Linked DNA regions of Struthio camelus. The protein of the gene in region 1 interacts with the protein of each later gene in a pairwise test. Links are inferred from orthologs where the notes say so. Each region holds a gene or a part of one and is shown in the gene's direction. Other genes may lie near its edges.

The links. The genes of interacting proteins can lie anywhere in the genome.
Region 2: the proteins of EPM2A (region 1) and PPP1R3D interact in a two-hybrid assay, tested with the Homo sapiens proteins (2 studies listed by BioGRID, with this or other methods). The link is inferred for Struthio camelus from reciprocal best matches to the Homo sapiens genes EPM2A and PPP1R3D.

Annotation. Positions count from the first base shown.
Region 1 is NC_090944.1:83,976,959-83,987,454, forward strand, and holds the start of EPM2A (laforin), read left to right. Parts: upstream 1-5,977; 5' UTR 5,978-6,061; coding exon 6,062-6,323; intron 6,324-10,496. UniProt on the Homo sapiens protein: Plays an important role in preventing glycogen hyperphosphorylation and the formation of insoluble aggregates, via its activity as glycogen phosphatase, and by promoting the ubiquitination of proteins involved in glycogen metabolism via its interaction with the E3 ubiquitin ligase NHLRC1/malin.
Region 2 is NC_090959.1:14,319,703-14,330,315, reverse strand, and holds the start of PPP1R3D (protein phosphatase 1 regulatory subunit 3D), read left to right. Parts: upstream 1-6,195; 5' UTR 6,196-7,060; coding exon 7,061-7,984; 3' UTR 7,985-10,613. Other genes in the region: protein FAM217B, read right to left, coding at 812-1,997, 3,521-3,606, 3,711-3,819, 5,042-5,136. UniProt on the Homo sapiens protein: Seems to act as a glycogen-targeting subunit for PP1. PP1 is essential for cell division, and participates in the regulation of glycogen metabolism, muscle contractility and protein synthesis.

The DNA of each region.
Region 1 (10,496 bases):
TCTGTTAAATGAGTTGTTATAAAATGAAACACAGTCCTCCTTCCAGGTTCCTTAACATCTGGTCAGACTATTTTTCTGAAAGATTTCCACGTCTTTTAATAACGCACATTAAAAGTTCCTGTCAACTGTGGAGCCAGGGATGTGTTGAAGAACTACATCTGTTGCTCAAGAGCATACTGAGAGCAAACTCTTTTCTTGTTTCACTTTCTTTCCCCTGGTTGCTTTGGAAACTAATAAGGGCATTCTTTCCCCTTTTATATAACAACAACCACTATTCCGGATTTCTATTGTTCCTGAATTTAAAATCAATAATTTAGTCATTTATATTCTGAAGATAACAAAATGAGTATAACTTGTAATACTTCAGTGATGCTAAGATCTTAAAGACAGGGCAAAATTTTTGGCAGTTTTTGCCAAATGTTTTGCCTTCTACTGCTGTGGATTTCTGAAGTATTGTTGATCATAACACTGCATTTGCCAAAAAAAAAAAAAAGAAAAAAAAAAGAAAGTTACATAATGAAAACCAAGCAGTAACTTTTTCTTGAAGCAGTCACACGTGTATAATATATAGGAACTTTCTCTCAACCAGTAATTTGCTGAGGTTCCTAGGAACACTGAAACTATGCTCAGCTACTGATGCATTAATTAGAGTGGAGCAGAGTTACTTGGGTCTGTGTGCATTTGCTTTTGAAAATGAAAGGCTTACGTAACAAGCCTCCATAAAGAAAGCACTTTCTTCTACTTAGAAATTCACATGGTGTACATCACATTAACTTTGGGTCAAACTGCACTCTTCTAACTAATGGAATAATGTTTTGGTATTCCATACAGTCAAGTGTTTTGTTCCTTATTTCAAAAGGGCTGAACCTCTTTTCTTCTAAGATGGGTATTTAATAAGAAACTTGATGTTTTATTGGTAGTAAAAGGCTGCTTTCAAACAGTGTACCTTATAATTAGTTTGGTGTTGTAACAATTTACTGTTATATACTACTTTTCAGTATTTTTCAGTGGAGCATCTCAAGTTACTTTACAGTCATTAAATCTTTACTCTTCTACAAGAGATTTACTCTCTGAGTAAATCCTTGGCCTCTGTTCTGGCCCGTTGTGCCAGGCAGAAGTGCCACATTAATGTTAGGACAGAAGCTCCAAGTTTGCCTGGAGCTTCTAGATCTTCCTGGTGTGGACAGTCTACAAGAAATACATAAGGCTGGCACAGAGCTTCCTGGAGAGAACTGTCGCGGTCACTTTGCCTGAAGCAGGAAAGGAGCCGTGTTCTGGGCTCCTTTGCAATGCTTGCAAAGGTATTGGGCATTGATGAGGTTGATAAGGCATACTGAAAGGGCCCTCTGGTGAAATATGTTGGGACCTTCTTCAGTTCCCAAAACCCTTCAGGCTGGGGAGGATGCAGAGATGGCTTTTTATTAGAGGCACTGGATTTTGGGGAAAAAAAAAAAAAAACCACAAGCCTACTAGAATAGTTATTCCTGTATGCATTACTGTAATGTTATTGCATATTTGAGCTGGCTAGTTACTTTTAAAAATAAGAAACTGTTTTTATAAGTTCAGGAAAAATGCTATACACAATGATATGCAGAAGTGAAAGTTACCTCCTTTAGTGTCCTACCTATTATTTCAATATAGTTTTCTAATGCAATTACTAAAATGGTCAGTCATGCCAGATTTTTTTTTAGCTTAGCCTGCCTGAGACTGCTACACAAACTAGCACTCAGAAGCTAAAACAGCTTCACAGAGTTATCTGTGCTCTGAAACGGCACCTGCAACTACAGCTGTACAGTGTGCTGCCTTTCTCTTTTCTATAATTAGAGCAAACATTTGGAAATTGCGATAACACTTTTCCCGTATCTTTACAGGAAAGAAAATGACCTAAAAAGGGAAGAAAGGCTTGTCTGGGAAGGAGCACAGCTAATCCAAACATCACGCAAAACTTGCAGCAGCATAAAGAAAGACCTAATTATCATCCCTTTTCCGACCAAATCTTTTCAGTAACTGTGTGTTTGGTTTTGTTTTTCAAACTCTGTCTTCACTGCAGATTTCCCTACTTGGAAATATCATTGGGGATCACTGTACAGCAACAACAGATAAGGCTGTGCCAAGCAGCAAACAGGCCCATGGTGTAAAAAGCTTGTAATCAGTAAAGGACATGTATGCTAAAAACACAGGCCACCCTAATATGAAAGGTATTAAGTTGATCTGTGATTGTAGTAGTGTTCACATTGCCCAGATAGCTGTGTGCTCTTTCTAAGTAGCCACTTTTCAAACTAGAAAAGTGAAGAAAACAAGCATTTGTGGAAAGAAAACATGACTTTCCTCTTAGAAAGTTGAATTTTGGACTGCTGTACACTACTGTCAAATTTCTTGATTAGTATCTTTGTTAAATCCAGCCAGCAACACTTTCTCTGTCCAAGTTTCCTGAATGTAATGAATGGTTCAGATCCCTGAATACCAGATCAATTTTGCACCAGGAAGAGGCATTATAAGGAATTAGAGGGCCTTCTGTAGCATAGTAAACTGCAAGCATGTTGAAGCAGGTAGAACTGAACAAAAAGGGCCAGCTTTCCTGAAACGTTAATCATCCACAGCAATAGGAGCTGTATGAACAGCGACTGTCAGTACTGGTATTTCAGCAGAACCTTGTCTAAACTTTGATTTGTGGTTCTGCAAAAGTTTAATACATAGCAAAAGAAGATAAGGGTTTTAAAACATCTCATACATGTTTTACATGTATGAAAATATAATCACAGCTCCAATTTCTGGATACTCAAATTTTTCCTTAGAGCCCATTTAGCCACAGCAGTTAAGCAGGAACTCAAGACCTAACTGTTTTTGCTGCAGCTGGTACATAGCCTTGGTGATTTCCCCATGTATGATCTTAACCACCTTCACAAATTCTGGAGGATGGGCTAGATTTAAAAAAAAAAAAAAAAATTGGAAATTATGTAGGGCAAGACTGACCTCTCAATACTATTAAGGAGAAGTCCATGAAGCGATTGATCCTTGCACGGATTCCCATGTCTAGAGTCTGTTGCTGTGTGCTAATGCTGTGGAAGAACAATCCATTTTTCTCATACTGCTCTTCCCATTTAGTCTGTCAGAGAGCCAGTCAGCACTGACAAACACCTGAGATGGTATGAGTGGCCACGAGCTGGATTCTAGAAAATAAATTTGGCACTAAGAATCACTGTGTTGCTAGTCTAACTTGAGAACTGAGGTAGATCTAGGCTTCCACACAGTAGATGCTGATATAAGTGTATTGCTAGATCCTAAATAGCTGTTAAGGATGCAAGGACACAACGTTTACTGTTAGATCCTGGCAGGCCACAGTGCTAAAATGGTACTTTGTTCCCACAGGAATGAACATTTAACAACAGTTCCTAGGACAGTTAAAGGCAATTTGATTACTTGATTATTAGGGTTTTGGCCCACGTTGCTCCAAAATCTTTTGAGCGACTTGCAAGGCATGTCAGGTTGGGATGAAGACTTTGAGGAATAAAAAAAGAAAAGAAAAAAAAGTAGTCATGTTTAATTTTGTGGCTGTAAGAGATAACTAGACTATAGGGAAGGCTTTTGGGTTTGAGATTAGTGTTGAGAACTGTGGAGAAGGGACTTTGGGTCAAGCAGTTCTAGGATAAGGGGTCATTTTGACAGGAGGAAACCAGTTCATTGCTAATTTATTAGAAGGCTCGGGGTCATACTTAAACTAATTAGCGTTACAGCAACAGCTAAACAGTGAAAGTACTTCAACTCTTGCTATCCCAAACAATAGCAGTACGTTTCCCTTTTGACTCTAGCTTAAATTCCAGTTTAGAGACTAGCAATCCATAGACCACGCAAATCCAGCAATGAACATACATCTCCATTTCCTTTTGAATTTGAACCCAAACCTCTCTGTGTCTGTATCAGTCTCAGGTCTAACGATAATCCATTCACTCCTGTTTACAGACATCATTCTAGTCCTCAACTTGGTAGTATTCACGGGTAAGATTTGTTCTTCTATTCCCACTGTCCTAAACACATGGGACTCCAGAGTCCCAAGCCAAGCTCTAGTTCTTCTCCTAGTCTTGCAAGATCCAGTAATAAATCCAGCTCTTCAGCCCCTCTTGTCTTGAATCTTAACGTTAATTTGAACTGTAACAACAGTTTAGAAACCTAAAAATGAATCACAGGCCATTTTATAGGCATTGTCAATCCAACAAAAAAGCTTAGTTTTCAGTTACTGCTTTGCCAAAAACTCCCACTCATTTTAACTACAGCCTGGTGACCTATAACTGATGATCAGCTATTTATCTCTGTCAGCTCCACCATTCATCTTAACTTTATGGGTTTTGGAGGAAAGATCAAGTAGTTAAGTGTCTCAGCTCTTGTCATTTTTAACCTTAACCCAACACCTGATATTGACAGGCACAAAACGAATTAAGACTGAATCTGGAGAAGAAACGGTCTTAATTACTTTTAAGGCTGGTATTTGCCATATCAGAAGCTAGAGAACTTAATTTTTATTCTTCCTACATGGCATACATGTCTAAGATGATGATGATTTGGTACTTACTAGGTACAAAGAAGTTAAGGTTTGTCTTAAGATAGGTATGTGTTGCTTGTCTCTTTATACTGAGGCTTAAACAACAGCCAGGAACTAAAGGAACAGATTTGTCGCTGCTTCCTGCAGTTTCTGACCTGGGATGATGTCTGGAATCAGCAAGAACAGATGGTTTCAGGTAGGCACAGGCTACTTGATTACTTTCAGGGCTACTGTCAAGCCTGAACTTTGGGACAGCAAAACTAAGTTTAGTGTTCCATTCTCTCATGCCCATAATGCTACAATTAAGGTTTATCCTAACAGGGTAGAGATCTGAAAGGCAATTTTGAGACAGGAATAACTAGAACGTAAGGTTGGGCAAAGGTAAGGATTAGAACATATTGCTTTGTTCTGTAAAACTCACAGTGCTACAACGAGAGCTGGCGCTAACAGAAATACAGGGAGGAAAGCCAGGATTCCCTTAGCTTTGGTTATGCCTGGAACAGTGGCGGCATATCACTTGCACGAATTGCATCAGGAATAGTAAAGATGAGCTAAGGCACTCTTAAAAATTGGCAGTACATACACTTCAGCGTGTCATCACGACACACAGGAAATAAGCAGTCATCTTTTGACGCAGAATTTCTTTTGACTCATTGAAAGGCCTTCATCCTGTTCCCAGAACTTGACCTAAATAAAGTTAGTAATCCTCTGTTTCTGTCCTTAGATGCTTCTGAAATGGGTGTATTGAGACAAGGACTGCCCTATCACCAGTTGGATTGCATCCTCCCTCTCAGTCATTCTTTGCAAGTCCTGAATATTGCTACATATAGGACTTGCCAAAATTGGGTCAGAAGGGCAAAGCAAAATGCATGCAGTTGAGAGACTGAGAATTTTTTTTACATCTACTCTTCCGTTCCTATTTCCTACTTCTGGTCTTAACACGAGCAGCTGCCTATCTTCAGGGAAGATATAAACATCACGGAGCCTAATTCAAGGCTAAACCTGGAGAACTGTTTGTAATGCTGCATGTATTGTGCTTGTTTAATGATGTGTTTACTGCACTAAATTAAGTCTGGACTCTCAGGAGTAATTGCAGAAGCTTCCTTTAACGAGGTAATAATCGTTTGCTAAAGTCAGTGTACATAACGTGTAACCTCCTGCAGCCACACATCGGTACAGGTATTTATTTACCTGCAGAGGTAATCCGCCGTCCCAGCCTTAACTTTAGAAAGATATCCGGCGCTGAGATGAAGTTCAAAATCCCATCGGCGTTCGAGGAGCGGAGCCCCTTCAGCTTACAGGCGCGTAGGGGGCGAAGCAGCGAAAAAGCCACGCCAGGAAAAGCCCGGCCGAGGACGGCCGCGCCCAGAGGGCACCGGCGGCCGCCCCCCCCACCCCCCCGCCGTCACGTTCCCCCGCCGGAAGTGAGGCCGCGGCCGGGCCCCCCCCAGCGGCCGCGCGGCGACAACCGACGCCGACTCCGACAACGCCACCGCGCCGCGGCCGAGGCTGCCCGCCGCCGCCATGCTGTTCCGCTTCGGCCTGGTGCTGCCGGCCCGGCTGACGGCGGGCGGCGTCGTGCTCTGCGTGGCCGGCTCGCGGCCGGAGCTGGGCCAGTGGGACCCGCAGCGCGCCGTGCCCATGACGCCGGCGCGGCCCGCCGCCGCGCTGCCAACCCAGGAGCCGGCGCTGTGGCTGGCGGAGGTGGCGCTGCCGGACGAGGACGCGGGCGGCACCTTCTGGTACAAGTTCCTGCGGCGGCAGGGCGGCGACGTCCTCTGGGAAGGTAACGGGCGGCTCGGCGCGGGCCCCGCCTCCTCGGCTGGGCTGGGCTGGGCTGGGCTGGCCCCGCCCGCGCCTCGGGGCCGCTGCGTGCGCGGCGCGAGCGGGCGTGGCGGCCGGTGGCGAGCCGTTGGCGGGCCGTTGGCGGGGGAGGGGGCGCCTGGGGAGGCGAGGGGCGCCGCGCTCTGGGGCGTTGCCGCTGGGCGGCCGGGGCTGCTCGGCCAACGGCCTCGGCGCGGGGCTGGAGGGCTGCTGCGGGCGGCCGGTGGGAGCTCTCTCGCCTGGCCGTCGGCTGGGAGGGCTCGGGGGCTGCGGAGATGGCCGCGGGGAGGCAGCGGGTGTCCCTGGGTTTGGGCCTGTGGGGATGCTGGCGGAGCCGGCGGCAGCCTCCTCGCGTGCGGGGAAGACCTGAGTCGTGCTTGCAGGTGGAGCTGGGCTGTGGGTTACACGATGGGTGTACTCACTAGCGAAGGCAATTTTTTAACCGTTTGATAGGGGAGAGCGAGTGTAGAACGAAGCTGCTTTTCTGGGTTGGTAGAAGTTATTTGAAGCAGTTTTTTTCTTTCTTTTTTTTTTTTTTTTACTTTGGGCGTTCACTGTTCTGAAGCTTTTTGTTTGTTTGTTCGTTTTTATTTTTATTTTCCAGAAGTCAAGGCCATAGAATTTCCCCAGATAACTTCTGGGTGAAGGTGTGATTTGTTATTTAATTTTAGTGAGCTGCATATCCAGAGAGTCATGATGTCCTTTTCAGGCTGGTAAATTTTACCATTAGAATTGTGGAATTGCCAAAATATTGGAAAAGATCTGTTAGAACTTTAGACTGTTGGAACTGTCTGAATCTTTTACCTATTTCAGTATTACTTCCACTGGATTTTTCTCCTGTTCTGTGCTGTTAAATGTTCTATAACTTCAGTCGGCTTCCATGAACTATTTTAGTATGTATAAGTATCTTAAAGAGAACGCTCTTACAGTTGCATGCTGAATCAAACAAAGCTCTAAATTCACCTCTTCACTGAGAAAGGGATCAGACTTGGTGAAAGCAGGACAGATTAGAGATTTCACAAAAAAAAAAAAATTTTAACTTCTAAAATAGTTTTCTAATCCATATAGAGAAGTAACAGTTGCACTTTACCCATTTTTAAGGTTACATATGATATTTTTGAACTGCTGTTTCATCATATAGACTAAAACATGGATATTATAATTGTTGCATTTATTTTTTCTACAATAACGAAAGGGTGTATATGTTAACTTTTGTGAATATGTTATCTATATCATGAAGCGTGTGCTAGTAACTGTTAAAAAAGGCAGAGTATACTGTTTATTTTAGCTGTTAAAATACAACAATGTTTTTCTTTTGCAGAAATGCAGGAAAAGTGAATTTATGAAATAAAAATCTTTGGATCTTTGCAAGGAAGCAGAACTGGGTCTTTTTTGAAGGTGCCAAGTTCTACATAAAATTTTGGTGGTATTGGTATATGAAGAGGCTTTGACTACACGCGATATAGCAATTAAACAAAAAAAAAAAAAGTGTTCCAATCTGTAAAGAACCTGCAACTGTGAAGTTATGGTTACTGGCAATAATGGTATCAAGGTGTTTGTTCATTCCTGGGTGCATGTTTAATGATGTAGTCTACTGAATAATAAACAATATTTATTACTGTTCTGGCCATAGTGCTGTTAGATACAGTTTTAACCTGTGTGAAATTTTCCTCTTGTTCAGCAATGAATGTTCAGCAATTTGAGCCTGATGCATGGCTATAAAACTAGAAGACAGACTGGAGTATCATCCAACTACAGATCTTCTTTTAGTTAGTCACTCAGATCAGCCATTTCTTTCCTGAGTTGTTATTTACTGAAAAGATCTAAATTTGCTTCACTCTTGAGGTTTTTTGTTCTTCATATAACATGTGAAAGGGGCTTAAGAATGTTTTTCTATCCAGAAATTTAAACAAGAGACTGCAAGATATTGCTTATGTCAGTTATTTTAATGATCTTTTTCAACTGTAAATCAACAGAGCTTTGACTGTCATCTGCTTATTCTTGTAAAAAATGCAGTTCAAAAAGACAACTACCTTTTTTTTAAAAAAAGGAGAAAACTTAGCATTTACTTTTCGCAAAAGACATGCGTTGAATGTTTAGTGTCCTGCCTGTTTAGATTTAAAATGTGCTTTGGGAGACATCTAACAGTAATGAAAACATCTGCAATTTTGAAGACGTGATCATGAAGGATAGTGGAAAGTGTAAAATGATACTTGCTCTAAATTTGTGAGTTGAGGCAGTCCTATGCAACTGGAGGGAGTCCTGTCTAATTATGGATGTCAGGTATTTATACTGTTAGATGTGAGATACAGATCATTATGACAAATCACTCCTTTTTTATTAGTACACTTTAAGGGAGACTTCTACCAATAATGCGTATTATTTTTATAATACTAATATTATATGTTTTTATTATAGTATTATTTTTATAATACTAATATTATATGTTTAACATATTTTAAATATAAATTTAGTTAATCTTCATAAGCTGTCCAATGCAGTGGCGAAACTGGAAGTAGAAAATGATCTGTTTCTATGGGCTGGAAGAGTCAAAGTCAGGGTCCAGTGTTACCTGGCTTTTGAGTTCCATCAGCTGGTCTGCTAACAAGAAGACTTCAGACCAAGGTCTGGTCTGCGGGAGAATTCCGGACTTCTTGTCTGGGTCTTGTAGGAACTAGTGTACCTCTCCAAAAGGACAAGACGGGAGAGGAAACTCTTGAGCTTCTGAATGATCAAGTTTTTACATCTGCTGTTGCAAACTCTACCCCACAGTGATGGTCGTGGTCTGCATCCAGTGGCGGCCACTTAAAGCTGGTGGGCTCTTCTGGCTCAGATCACGTGGTTCCTATAAATGCTGTGGCCCAAGTAAGGTTTCGTCGGGAACCTTGCTTTGCTTATCCGGTGTGAGCTCAGCTGAAAAGCCTGTTGTTCAGGTGAATTTTGAACGTGTGGAAAACAGGATGATTATGTTAAGCTTCAGGATTTGGGAAGTGTTCTACCCATTATAAAATATAAAGAAATGTATCTGTTTTTTTCAGAATAACTATAGCCTATATGTCTTTGTACTCTAATGTTGATTCTTCAGAATTGGATTTTCTTTCAGTTTGTGAAGTACAAATGTATTGTGGCTACTGTCAAAGCTAAATAAATACAAGGTGGAGCTTATACCTGAATTCATTTTTCTGAATTTATGCCTGAACGCTAATGTAGACCTTTTATTTTTTGTTTTTCTAAATACACTGTAGATACTGTGCAAGACACATTGCATAAAAGGACTGAGGATGCTAAAGGTATGCCTGAAACTCTGTATTTTGAAAGGATAGAATACAGTATCCTGGTAACGTACAGGAAAGTCACACCTGAACATTTCTGAAAGCGAAAAATGCACTGCAAAACAAATCTAAGGTGATATTTTAAAATGCTTATCCATTTTTACACAGACTTGTGTTCCTGTCACATAACCATTGGTTTGATGCAGTTGATGCTTGCTTGAGGCTTGACAGATTGTGCAGCAATGCCAGTTAAAGCTGAGAAGTATGATCGACCTACGTTCTAGTAATTTGTGCATGTGAGCATAGCTTTTTCCTTTAAAAAAAAAATAATAATTATTCGTTGAGGGGGGAGGAAGAGGAGACAAAAGGAAGTGCATCTTGTCTGCATTCATCTGGCAGTGTTGTTTTCTGTGGTTTCTTGGAGACACAAAACAAACAGCACAACACAGTTCAATTTAAAAACAGTTATGTTAGACAGCCTGTGATTTGGTATGTTGTCCTTCCAACGTTTCCAGTTCCTGCTCATGTGAGCTTGTAGGTTATAGTTTAAGCTTTCTGTTGAATAATGTACACCTCTGGAGATAGTCCATAAATTCACCAGCCTTTTTGAACTAATACAGTTCATCATAATATTTTGATATAATTACTCGAAATATTGCCAGAAGTAAAATTTGTTCATGACTTTTGAAGCATTTTGAGCAGTTAATTGGCTGAAAATATTGGTGATATTAAGGCACATTAAAACTTTCAGCTCAAGTAATGATTGAAGCAGACTGCATATTTTGCTGTGCAGTTCTAGCTTTCTTCTGTGATTTAAATGCATTTGCCCAGGACTGGCTACTTCCTGCTTCTCTTTTCAGTAT
Region 2 (10,613 bases), on another chromosome or scaffold:
GACCTTTGTCACAACAATCAGGAATGTGATTATTTGGTCTCAGTGACAAAATGCATCAAGACTTACAAAATGAACTTGAAGGAAAGCTGTTTGTAAACATAGTAAAGGTTTCTGGATATAAAAATATGCATTTCATGGTCTTAATCTGTCACTGTGGAAGCTATCTATTCCCTAATAATTGTTTTCCTTTAATAGAAACCTTTGTGCATTAAAACATTTCAGAACATTCTCTCCATTCTTCTTCCTATCTGAAAGAATCCAGTTCATTATCTCCTATCAAGAATTAGAGAGATTAACTTTGCATAGATAAGCCTGGCCTGTTCCATTATTTTATAAAAACAATTCAGCCCTTTTCCATCAGAAAAAAAAAAAAAAAAAAAACACCACCAAACCCACCCCGCAAAAAAGCACATCTGCTCAAGAAAAAGAGCATAGATCTTGTTCTCCTCTCAAATACACCAAGGTGAACAGATGAAACACCACAAATTTCCGTGGGGTTAGTGGTGCTAATAGGAAATTTTACAATTAAATATTTCTCTAAACTTGCTTATTTAGATAGTGTTATCTTCATTTAGCAATTGTAAATATTTTTGAGGAAAGACCAGTGGAAGACATTTGCCTTCAAGGAAAAGATTCCTGATGGCCTTGCTGGTTTATGATCAAATATATTGAATTGAGTAGTGGTGATTTAGAAAAATGCATCAAGAGCATACTTTCCTCAAGATCTTCCTATGAAGGAAACATGACCCTTCTACATGGCCAAATGCTTTCTAGCAGTCAAGAAGCATCAACATTTACTAATGATTATTTTTCATTTAAATTTACGTGATGTTTGCTTTGTGCCATTTGTTTTCATTTTCCTGTCCCCTGTTATTTTTTTGCAAGGAACATAGTTATTAGCATTGCCGTTTTTCTTTGGATTTGTACACGAATATGTTTTTAAGCCTTTAGTGGGAGCAGCTGAACCATGGAATACAGGGGTCTGCTTAGGGGGTCTGATGTTACCGATGCCTTGAATTTTAGAACTGTTTTCAGAGGGCTGCGTATTGAGAAGTTGTTGCTTTGCAGTCGGTTTCTTTCTCAACTCACTCCTTACTTCACCAGAATTTCTCTGAGATGACAGTGCACGTCCCATGCTCTCAGAAAAGTGACCTGGCTGTGCATGCATTTGGCAGTTTTCTTCACAGTATGCGTCTCTCCTGTGACCTGAATAGCTTGTGGGGAGCTTTGTAATGCTTTCTTGGGGAATTGCTTGCTTGCTAGGCAAAGGGCTGGGCAATACTTTGCCTTTCCCAGGGCTTTTTAGGGTACGGATGGAGCTGGGAGCAGTTTGAGGTCTGACTTTTGCTGTCTTTCCTTTCTCATTCTGTACAGTCTGCATTTGCAGCCATTCCAGCTGCAAAAGACGATCAATGTATTTCTCAAGAAATCCTGCTGGCTTCGGTCGAAATTCAGTTTTACCCTCTACAGTAACAAAGATGGCCAGCTGCTTCAAATCCCAGGAGTTGAAAGGGGGTGGGAGGAAGTCTGGGTAATAATATTCTGATTCTTTAAACCCTGTATCAAGGACATGTTCCAAACAAACTGGATCAATTTCTTCAGCTCTGAGAATGAGTTCTGGTGGTGTGCAGGGAGATGGAGGAACGGGAATCCTTTCTGAATCAGAAAGGTCACTGGCACTATCATCTTCAGCATCTTCTTTAATAATTCGTACCGATTCAAAATCGAGAAGCATCTGATCTACAGATGCTTCTTGCCATTTAGAAGAGCATGGACCAGCTTCAGCAACATGTTCTTTATGAGTGTTTTCTAACTGTTTGTTCTTACTGCAATAACAGTGTTGCATCGGGACATCTTTTGCCCTCCTGAAGCTACCTTGTGAGCTGCCCTTCATGCTAGGAGGGATCCTGTGCAGCACAGATTCGCTTTGTTTTCTTTCTGAGACACTCCTCTTTGATCCTTGTACTCTGTGCAATGAGGTGCAAACGCTCATCGTTCTGAACAGGAAGAAAGAGCATATACAAGTAAAATGATTAATGTATTTGGAACAACAAGTTACAAAGGACTTGCTACTGTCTTACAAGAACTTGGATCTATGTGAATTAAGCTAAAATTGGCATGAAAACTTACTGATGAGGTAAGATTAATATTTGCTAGCAAAGAGAACACTGCCTGCTACCCTGTGTTGTGGTTTGACTTATTTGATATACATTGCAATGCTTGTTACACATAAAATAGAAATTCAGTCTAAAGACAGAGACCATGGCCAGAATTAATAGTTAGGACATAAGACAAAACAATCAAGCTTTCATGGTCAAATGGTATAAACTGATGCAACCCCCTTCACTTCACTCATTTATAGCAGTTGAGAATGTGACCCTCTCTGTAAGGAATGCTGAATAGTTTAAAAATAAAAACTTATTGCTGCTTATAGTTCCCAAATGAATACACATGTGCATCAATCACAAATTAAAAGGTAGCATTCACCCCAAAATATCCTGAGGTACAATACTAAATTCAAGATGTTATTTTGTCTTAAAAGAGGAAATGTAACAGCAAACGTCAGAAACAGTACCGCATAAACGGAGAGAACTGTGTGTGCCTGCATTCAAACAGAGAGGGACTAGCGGACAACTGAATAGGAAAAATTTTGTATGATGAGGAGTGCAAAAAGAGGTCATGAACAGCAATCTCTGTTTACAGAGACCTCACTGTGGAAAGAGTCAAGATTCAGCAGTAAAAACAATGTTAGTATGTTACCAAACTTAACTTATCCAAAATAGCTTCCATTTTTCTAGAGGACGCTAATTTCAGTAAATCTTTCTCACTTTCTCCTTAAAGTAGCAAGCTCCCAAAATAGAGTTCTAAGATTAAATTTAGGCTCGTAATATTTGCTTGTATCCACTCCATTCTGTTGCAAGGAATCTTGTATCTGGCAATATTATTCCCATTAACTTCTTCAACCCAACCATGAACGCTCTCTGATTTTTTTTATCCACTATTAAAACTCTACACGCCATAGTCATTTCATTTTTCAGTCTTTTCTCACTATTCGCATTCCCCTCCCAGTATCAGTTTTCTTCTCTCACACATTGGGTTATGTTTTCTGCCACAAGAGCTTGTTCTCGAATACTTTCTGCCACAAGAGCTTGTTCTCGAATACTTCTTAAATCCAAAACTCTCCTCATCTTCAAATGGATCTTTTAAAGGTATTTTCTCCATGAAAATTCCTATGTTGATTCTTAATTCTCAGGGACGCTATCATGAGTAATTATTTTTCTGATAATTTTTTTGTCTTATTTTATTCTGATTTTGCCTAGAAGCTCATTGAAGCAGTATAATAAGTTTCCATATTAATAACTTAAGTTTTTTTTTCCTCATAAATGCTGAATTGTGGGGCCAGTGAAGCCAAAGGTAAAATTCTTATAGAAATCAATGAACCCATGATTTCATCACAACCATTTTGCATACCAATTTGAAACGTCTACAAATAAAGCAGAGAACCTTAACATAAAATTACCTGCTTGGCTGAATGTGGTCACCCAGCTGGTTTCTTTCCTTGTAAAAAATACATGGTTGGTTATCGTCCTGAGTGTCATGGGAAGTCTGGAAAGATAGGAAAGTATGTGATGCTGCTACTGCGATCAAGAAAGCTGATATAAACTAAGTACTCTTTTTCTGTAAGGAAACAAGGAACTGGAATGATTTACCTTTTCAGTGGCATTTGATATATTTTTGCCTAATCTTCCAGAAGATCTCACATGAGAAATTTGTTTCTTTAGTCCTTTGGTACTCAGATGGCTTTTTCCACCGCTGTAACTAGCGAGGATTAAACAGAATACCATACACCAATAGTAACATATTTCATGGTCAGAACAGAAACATAGTAAAAGTTTACAGTGCAACTCAGTTTAAAAGAGAGAGCTGACGGCAACTATGCTTGGAGAGACTTAAAGTTCATGAGAACCATACTGTGGTCGCTTTTTATTTTTATACTACACAAAAGTGCAAAATTCCAATAGATAATATAATAAGAGAACTTGGCCCTTATAAAGACTATTCTGTCAGGGGAAACCAAAGTTATGTTGGGGATAATAAATAGTAAATATTAGAGATTATATACTTAACTATTAATTTATGTAGTACCTGTTACTTGTGGGCCTACTGCAGTTTAGCAGAAGTAATCTTTAAGTATGATATGAAGACCAGTACAAGCCAATTCCTGCCTGGCTATCTCATTTGCATAGTCTCAGTAAAATTTAAAGGAATTTTTCTATGAAGAAAATGAGCAAAGTGAACAGGTAGCATATAGTCTATTATAATATTAATAGAAACTATTTTGCAATAAAGGCACAAACAAAGTCAGTTTCACTATTCAACAAAAAATTCACTATTTTTTGTTGTTGGATCATGCAAAATATTGATAAGGAAAAGCTTCATACGGAAGTGAAAGGAATGACATTATTGATCTGGACAGCTTAAAACTAAATTACACAATATTTCCTTTCCTCTAATAGATCAGATACTTTTCTCTGTAAGCACAGCAGCAAACAAACAAAAAAAAAAAACCCACACTGAATCATTAAAACAGTGTATGCTGTAGGAGTCAAGAAAGTGGTGTTTGTTCTACAAACAAGAAATATTACTAATTTCAAGAAGGAAAGCTTTAAAACGTCATTTTAGAACAGAAATAAACAAGTTGTATCTCCCCAGCCTACTTTAGATTCACTGCAGTACAATTAATTTTGCCAGGCAGCACATATTCTTCATAGCTGTTATGTCAGTGTAGTTTGATTTCGCTTTAAAAAATAGTCATCACTTTAAGAGCTGATAAAATCATGCAAATAAGCCTTGTGCCTTCAGCACTGACGCAGTCGTCTCTGTCGCTGGGACCTGCAAGATCAAACAGCGCAACCGCTTGCGTTGCTGTGGATCAGAGAGGAGGATGAGAATCTGAACAGTACACAGTCATGCATTTATTAACTAATTTACAGTACTTAGAGAAATCTCTAATTATAAAGAGAGAAGGTAATTTCCTTACTTTACCGTTCCTTTGTGGTTTTCATTGATTTGGCTTTCCTTTTCCGGTGTCCCGCTGCGCAGTAATAAAGGATGTTCCTGAATGCCTGGTCCCATTGTTCCTCTCTTTGAAGAGTGTCTGCGCCTTTATTTTTACATAACCTTCAAAGGACTCCAGTGTTTCGGGTTGATGAGACACAGCGCATCAAACGCAGGCATCACCACGTCCTAGAGATGCAGTAAACAAACACCATGCCATTCCTCCCAATGTGATTATTATTTTTTTTTAAAGCAGTAACATAATCAGCTCCCAAACAGTCCTGGAAAACACTCTCCCTTGCCCCAGCGCTGTGCTTACTTCACGGCAGTCGGCATACGGTTCACAAGCCCGTCCCTGAGAGGATGCTTGGGCAAGGTACGGGGAGGCGGGGGGAGCATGAGAAGGTACAGCAGCATTGCATGAGCTACTTTTCGTTTCCTGGCGTGCTCCTCATCGTGTTGCCCTTGCACCACGCCGCGCGTAGGACCGGAGCCAAGCACCGCAGCCAAGCGGCGGGCGGGCGGGCGGGCGGGCGGGCGCCGCTGCGCTGCGCTGCCCTGCGCTGCGCTGCGCTGCGCTGCGCTGCGCTGCCCTGCGCTGCCCTGCGCTGCGCTGCCCTGCGCTGCGCCTGCCTCCCGGGCGCGCCGCGCCGGCTCGTCCTTCCCGCGGCAGGAAACGCGCTCTTGGTACCGTCCGATATGCAAGTTCTCTATCGAATGCTTAATTTTCTTCTTCTTGTTCCAAAACAAATCTCCCAGGACCCTTAAATTCGTACTAAAAATACTACCAGCAGAACATGCAGTATTTTTTTTTATCTTCTAAAAACAGCATTCCCAAGGGCGCATGATTTCCAAAGGGTAGCAGACAATTAGCACCAAATTACCTCTGCTCACCCACCCTTGGTCTTGCTGCAGGGCGTTAATAACGAGCTATATCCGTGTATTTTTTCGCTGTCTTCCCCCCCGCGCCCCGGTCCCGCCAGCACCTGCCCGGTACCTGCCTCCGCCAGCAGCTAAGGGCAAGTCGACTGCGGCGACGTCGCTCTGGCTAATGCGCACGCGCCGAGTGACGACGCATGCGCACCGCGGACGGCTGATGGTTTCCTCTTGATTAGTTGCCCGGGGGGGGGGGGACGCGCATGCGCTGCTGGCGAGGGCGGCGGCGGCGGTCTGTCCGCGGAGGGGCGAGCGGTGCCGGTTGCCGCGGGCTGTGGGGCCGCGGTCGGCTGCCGGCTGCGCAGCGCCCTGCCCTGCCCTGCCGCCAGCTGATGTGGGCTGCCGAGTCCCCGAGCGCGGCTCCCTCCCCGCCCGGCCACAGTACCGACTCTGCCTGCGCGGCCCCGCCCGACAGCCTCCTCACGCCCTCCAGCCGCCGCAGCAGCCTCGGCTCCGGCTCCTCCGTCCCGCCCGACAGCCTCCCGGCCTTTCCCAGCCTGGCCGGTAGCCGCGAGTCGCCCAGCCTCCAGTGTGACAGCCTCGAGTGTCCCTGCTGCCACTGCGGCAGCCTGGCGTCGACGAGCGCCTGCGAGGACAGCCTGCAGCCCCGCTCCGGGGCGCTTCAGGGGCACCGCCGGGCCCCCAGCAGCCTCTGGGACAGCCTGGAGTCCGCCGGCGCCCCGCACGACAGCCTCCAGTCGGTCTCCAGCCTGCAGGAGAGCTTCAGGTCCTCCAGCAGCAGGTGTGATAGTCTTGAATCCCTTTCCAGCCTGTGTAGCAGCTCCTCCAGCCAGCGTAACAGCCTCGAGGTCACCAGCCGGTGAGGCGGCCCTCAGCTTTCCCCTCCGATGCACGAGCCTCCGGTTCGCTGCCAGCTGCTGCGAGAGCTTCCAGGTTTCTGCCCTTCACTGCGGAAGGCTTCGTTGCTCCAGTGAATTCCTGCAGCAACCAGCAGAACAACCCCAAATACCCTCCTGCTCTGGCTGTCGTTCCCAAGTTACGTGCTTCAGAGAGGCAGTACTCAGTATCGGCAGCGTCAACCTCAGCTCTTTGTCATCGGTTAAGAATGGAGGTACGTGGTCCTCGGAGGAGTCCCAGCTACCTCTCCAATCTCTATCAGAACATGTTACAGGCTGAGGCAGAGCCGGGACGAGGGCAGCAGCGGCCCCAGGCAGTTCACACAAGTAGCAGCGTGAGTCTTCTGAGCAGTATCCCGGCCAAGGGGGGCTCGCAACCAAATCGGCCTCAGAGTAGCACTGCCACCAGCTGCGATCCAGCTTTACGGCCTATCATACGCCGCCGAGCGAGGTCTTTGCCTACATCACCTGAAAGAAGAAAGCGAGCAGGAGTGCAGTGCCGAGTTCCAGGATGCGAGGGTCGTACGAACAGGGTGAGATTTGCTGATGCTTTGGGCTTGGAGCTGACTGAAGTGAAAGTCTTCCAGACTGGAGAGGATCCGTCAATCCCCTTGCATGTCCTTTCCAGGCTCTCCATAAACTCAGACCTCTGGGGCAGTAGCTTGGACCTGGAGTTCACCATGCAGTGCTTGGTCCCTGACTTCCAGCAGCCTGCAGACTGTATGGATTTCTCTGCCCGACTTCAGGAGCAGCAGGTGTGTCTTGAACGAGTGACCAATTCAGATTTGGGGCTCAGTGGCACCATCCAAGTTTGTAATATTGCTTTTGAGAAGCAGGTATCTGTGCGATACACCTTCAACCAGTGGAAAAGCCTCCATGAAGTGTGTGCTCATTGGCATAGCAGCATCCCTGAGAAAAACGGGCAAGCTCAGGTTGATGTTTTCACTTTTTTTCTCCCTGTACCTCCTTTCCTCCTTCATCTGTGCTCTGTAGTCCAATTTGCAGCAAGATACAGAGTCAATGGGCAGGAATATTGGGATAACAACAGAGGCAACAACTACAGTTTTACCTGCCGGAATTACCCCCTTAAGATGCCTAGAGAATGTGAGGAGAGCTGGATCCACTTCATCTAAGCAAAAGAAATTGGATGTAGAGCAGCTTTTGAATAGCCTTATTCTCTTCCCTGGCATTGCTCTGTGCTCCTAGGGCAATACAAACCCTCTTTTTGAAACCTGCCAAACCTGGCAAAGTGTTTCAGAACAGGAAAGTAGCCAGTGATGTGTACAAACTGTTCTAAACCTCTCAGAAAGTATAAAGGGCCAAAATGTGTATCGCGTTACATCCGTTGAAAGCCCGCGTGATTTCTTGTGGTGTGTGAATCGGTGCAGAATGGTTCAAAGGGATGCTGTCAGACTAAATATCTGAAAGCGAAGAAAGGCACTTTTGTTGCTAATGGTATTCTGGACTGCATAAAATATTTATAACGAGTCTGTTTTACCATGTCTGGTTTTTTTTAAATGGACAGTGTGGCTTTACTGTTTTTATTTCTATTTTTGTTTATGTTATCTCACCAAGTCTGGGCACTATTCCAGCTTAGCAAAATTTGGATGGCAAGCACAGTAGGGAAGTATGTATTTTTACATAAGTATATTTGTTAACGTTTTAGCCACGTTAAGTGTTTCTATTAATATTTAGTTTGCAAAAGAAATTTAATTATGAGCTAAAACAACATGAAAATGTGCCAGCTGCTCCTCTGTTTCCCTTTTAAAAAAAAAAAAAAGTTTCTTAACCATGTGCCTTTTCTCATCTGCAATGTTTGCTATAGGGAGCAGGCGTGATTTAAGTGTAAATTAGGCTGACCATGGGGGAGTTCTCATCTTTTGGGGTGATGTACAAGTAGGTTTTTTTCTCCAGGGAAATGGAATTGGCCTTTCCTTGTGGAGCTATTTTTATTAAGGGAAACTAGAGCAATTTTGCACTTTTGTTGTGATCACACTTGAAGATCTCAAAGCACTACATAAAAGCTAATGATCTTACACCCATACTAGAAACGGATAAATTTAAAACTCAAGGCATGGGTATGAAAGACAAACTATAAAGGCAGTGCAGTGAGCTGGTCGCGGAGCCTTGGAATAGAACGCTAGAAGCCTGAATCCCCGCTCCCTTTTCCCTAGTGTCCCAGTACTATTGCAGTAGCACTTTTGAGTTCTCTAATCACCTACTACTGATTATAAACTAGTTCAAGACTGAACACAAAATGGGAAAATGATGATTTTACTGGTAAATTGGTTTTTACATGGATCCACAAACAGAATTCCTTTTGCAGCACTGAGAGCAGAGTAACACAGAAGAGTCTGCCCAATATGTAGCTTACTGCTGGGCTGCTTTCCTTCTGAGGATTTAGTCTGGTGTGAGATTGGTAACAGGCTTAAATCTAGTAAATAAATGATTGTCCTTGAATGTTTTAATGCATATTCTTCACTGCATGCAGAGTGAAGTACTTTAGCTTTATAAGTATAGTGTAAGTTTTCAAAACTGGTTGGCTGGATATATTAGAAGAGCTGCTTTTCAGAAGGAATATACTATGAAAATCATGCTGCATATTCAGATGTCTTATTTTGGATTGCTGCTTATTCATCAAAATCACAAATTATTTTTAAAATCAAGATTGTAGGCAGCACACAGCCAAGTATGTGTTAGTCAAAAAAGTCCATTGGGTCATTCTGGAATTGCAGAAACTCCAAGAAGCATCCCATGTTTGGCAGCTTAATGTGATTACTTAGGTGCGATACCCCTTTAACAAGGCCAGGATTTCAAGTGAACTAGTTGCCCAGCTCCGTTAGTCTGTGGCTTTTAGGGCCTGAAGTCATGAGTGGCGATTCTATGCGCTGCTGAGCATCTCCTCAAAGTACTGAGGAAACTCAATCCGGTTTGAAACAATTGAGAATTGACTTGTTCGTCATGTGGCAGGATAGAACTAACCCTCTGCCAATTAGTTTGTTTATAGTTTGTTTCATACCTGCTGACCAATGTAGACAGCTCTGAAATTGATTTAAAAACAAAATTATTGAATTAGAAATTCTTTCCATGCATTACGGTAGTTAGCCCACCTTCTAGGGTAATTAAATGTGCTCTTTGCTTGGATGTTGTCTCAGTAGGTGAGAGATTTATTCCAAAAAAATCTTTTGATAAAACGTGCAATTCATATATTTTTCATACTCTAATTCAAATGGTCATTTCTGTTAGCAGTCGCTGTTACTGAAGTGGCTGTTTATATGCCTTTTTGATTTCTAAACTAAGTGAAGCATCCAAAAAATCACAGAGCTGATATTATAAAAGTTACATAGTTATTCAGTATAGCAGCAGAAATGCAAGATGTATTTTGAATGTCTTATTTCAGCCGTACTGGGCGTTTGTCAGTACTTGAATTCAGTTTGAGTTGCAAGTACTTTCTGCCTCTGAAGGTCAGATTCTGATTATTGCTCTTGTTTTAAGCCTCTGTACCTTCAGTAACAATAGGTTTTTATTGCTTGTCTATGTAGTGTTCAGTTACCTGTGTGTCAGTGGCTATCTACTACTAGGGAATGGTAAAAATCATTTATTTTTTAGTACAGAAGAATTTTCATTGTCCATTTAAAAGACAATGAATGCCGCTAATACTACAGTTTTGTATTGGAGCACTCTGAGGTTGTAAGTTGAGGCAGAAATTGTTTTCAAGGAGTGACACAACTACTGTATCAGGATATTTCATAACCAGGAGGT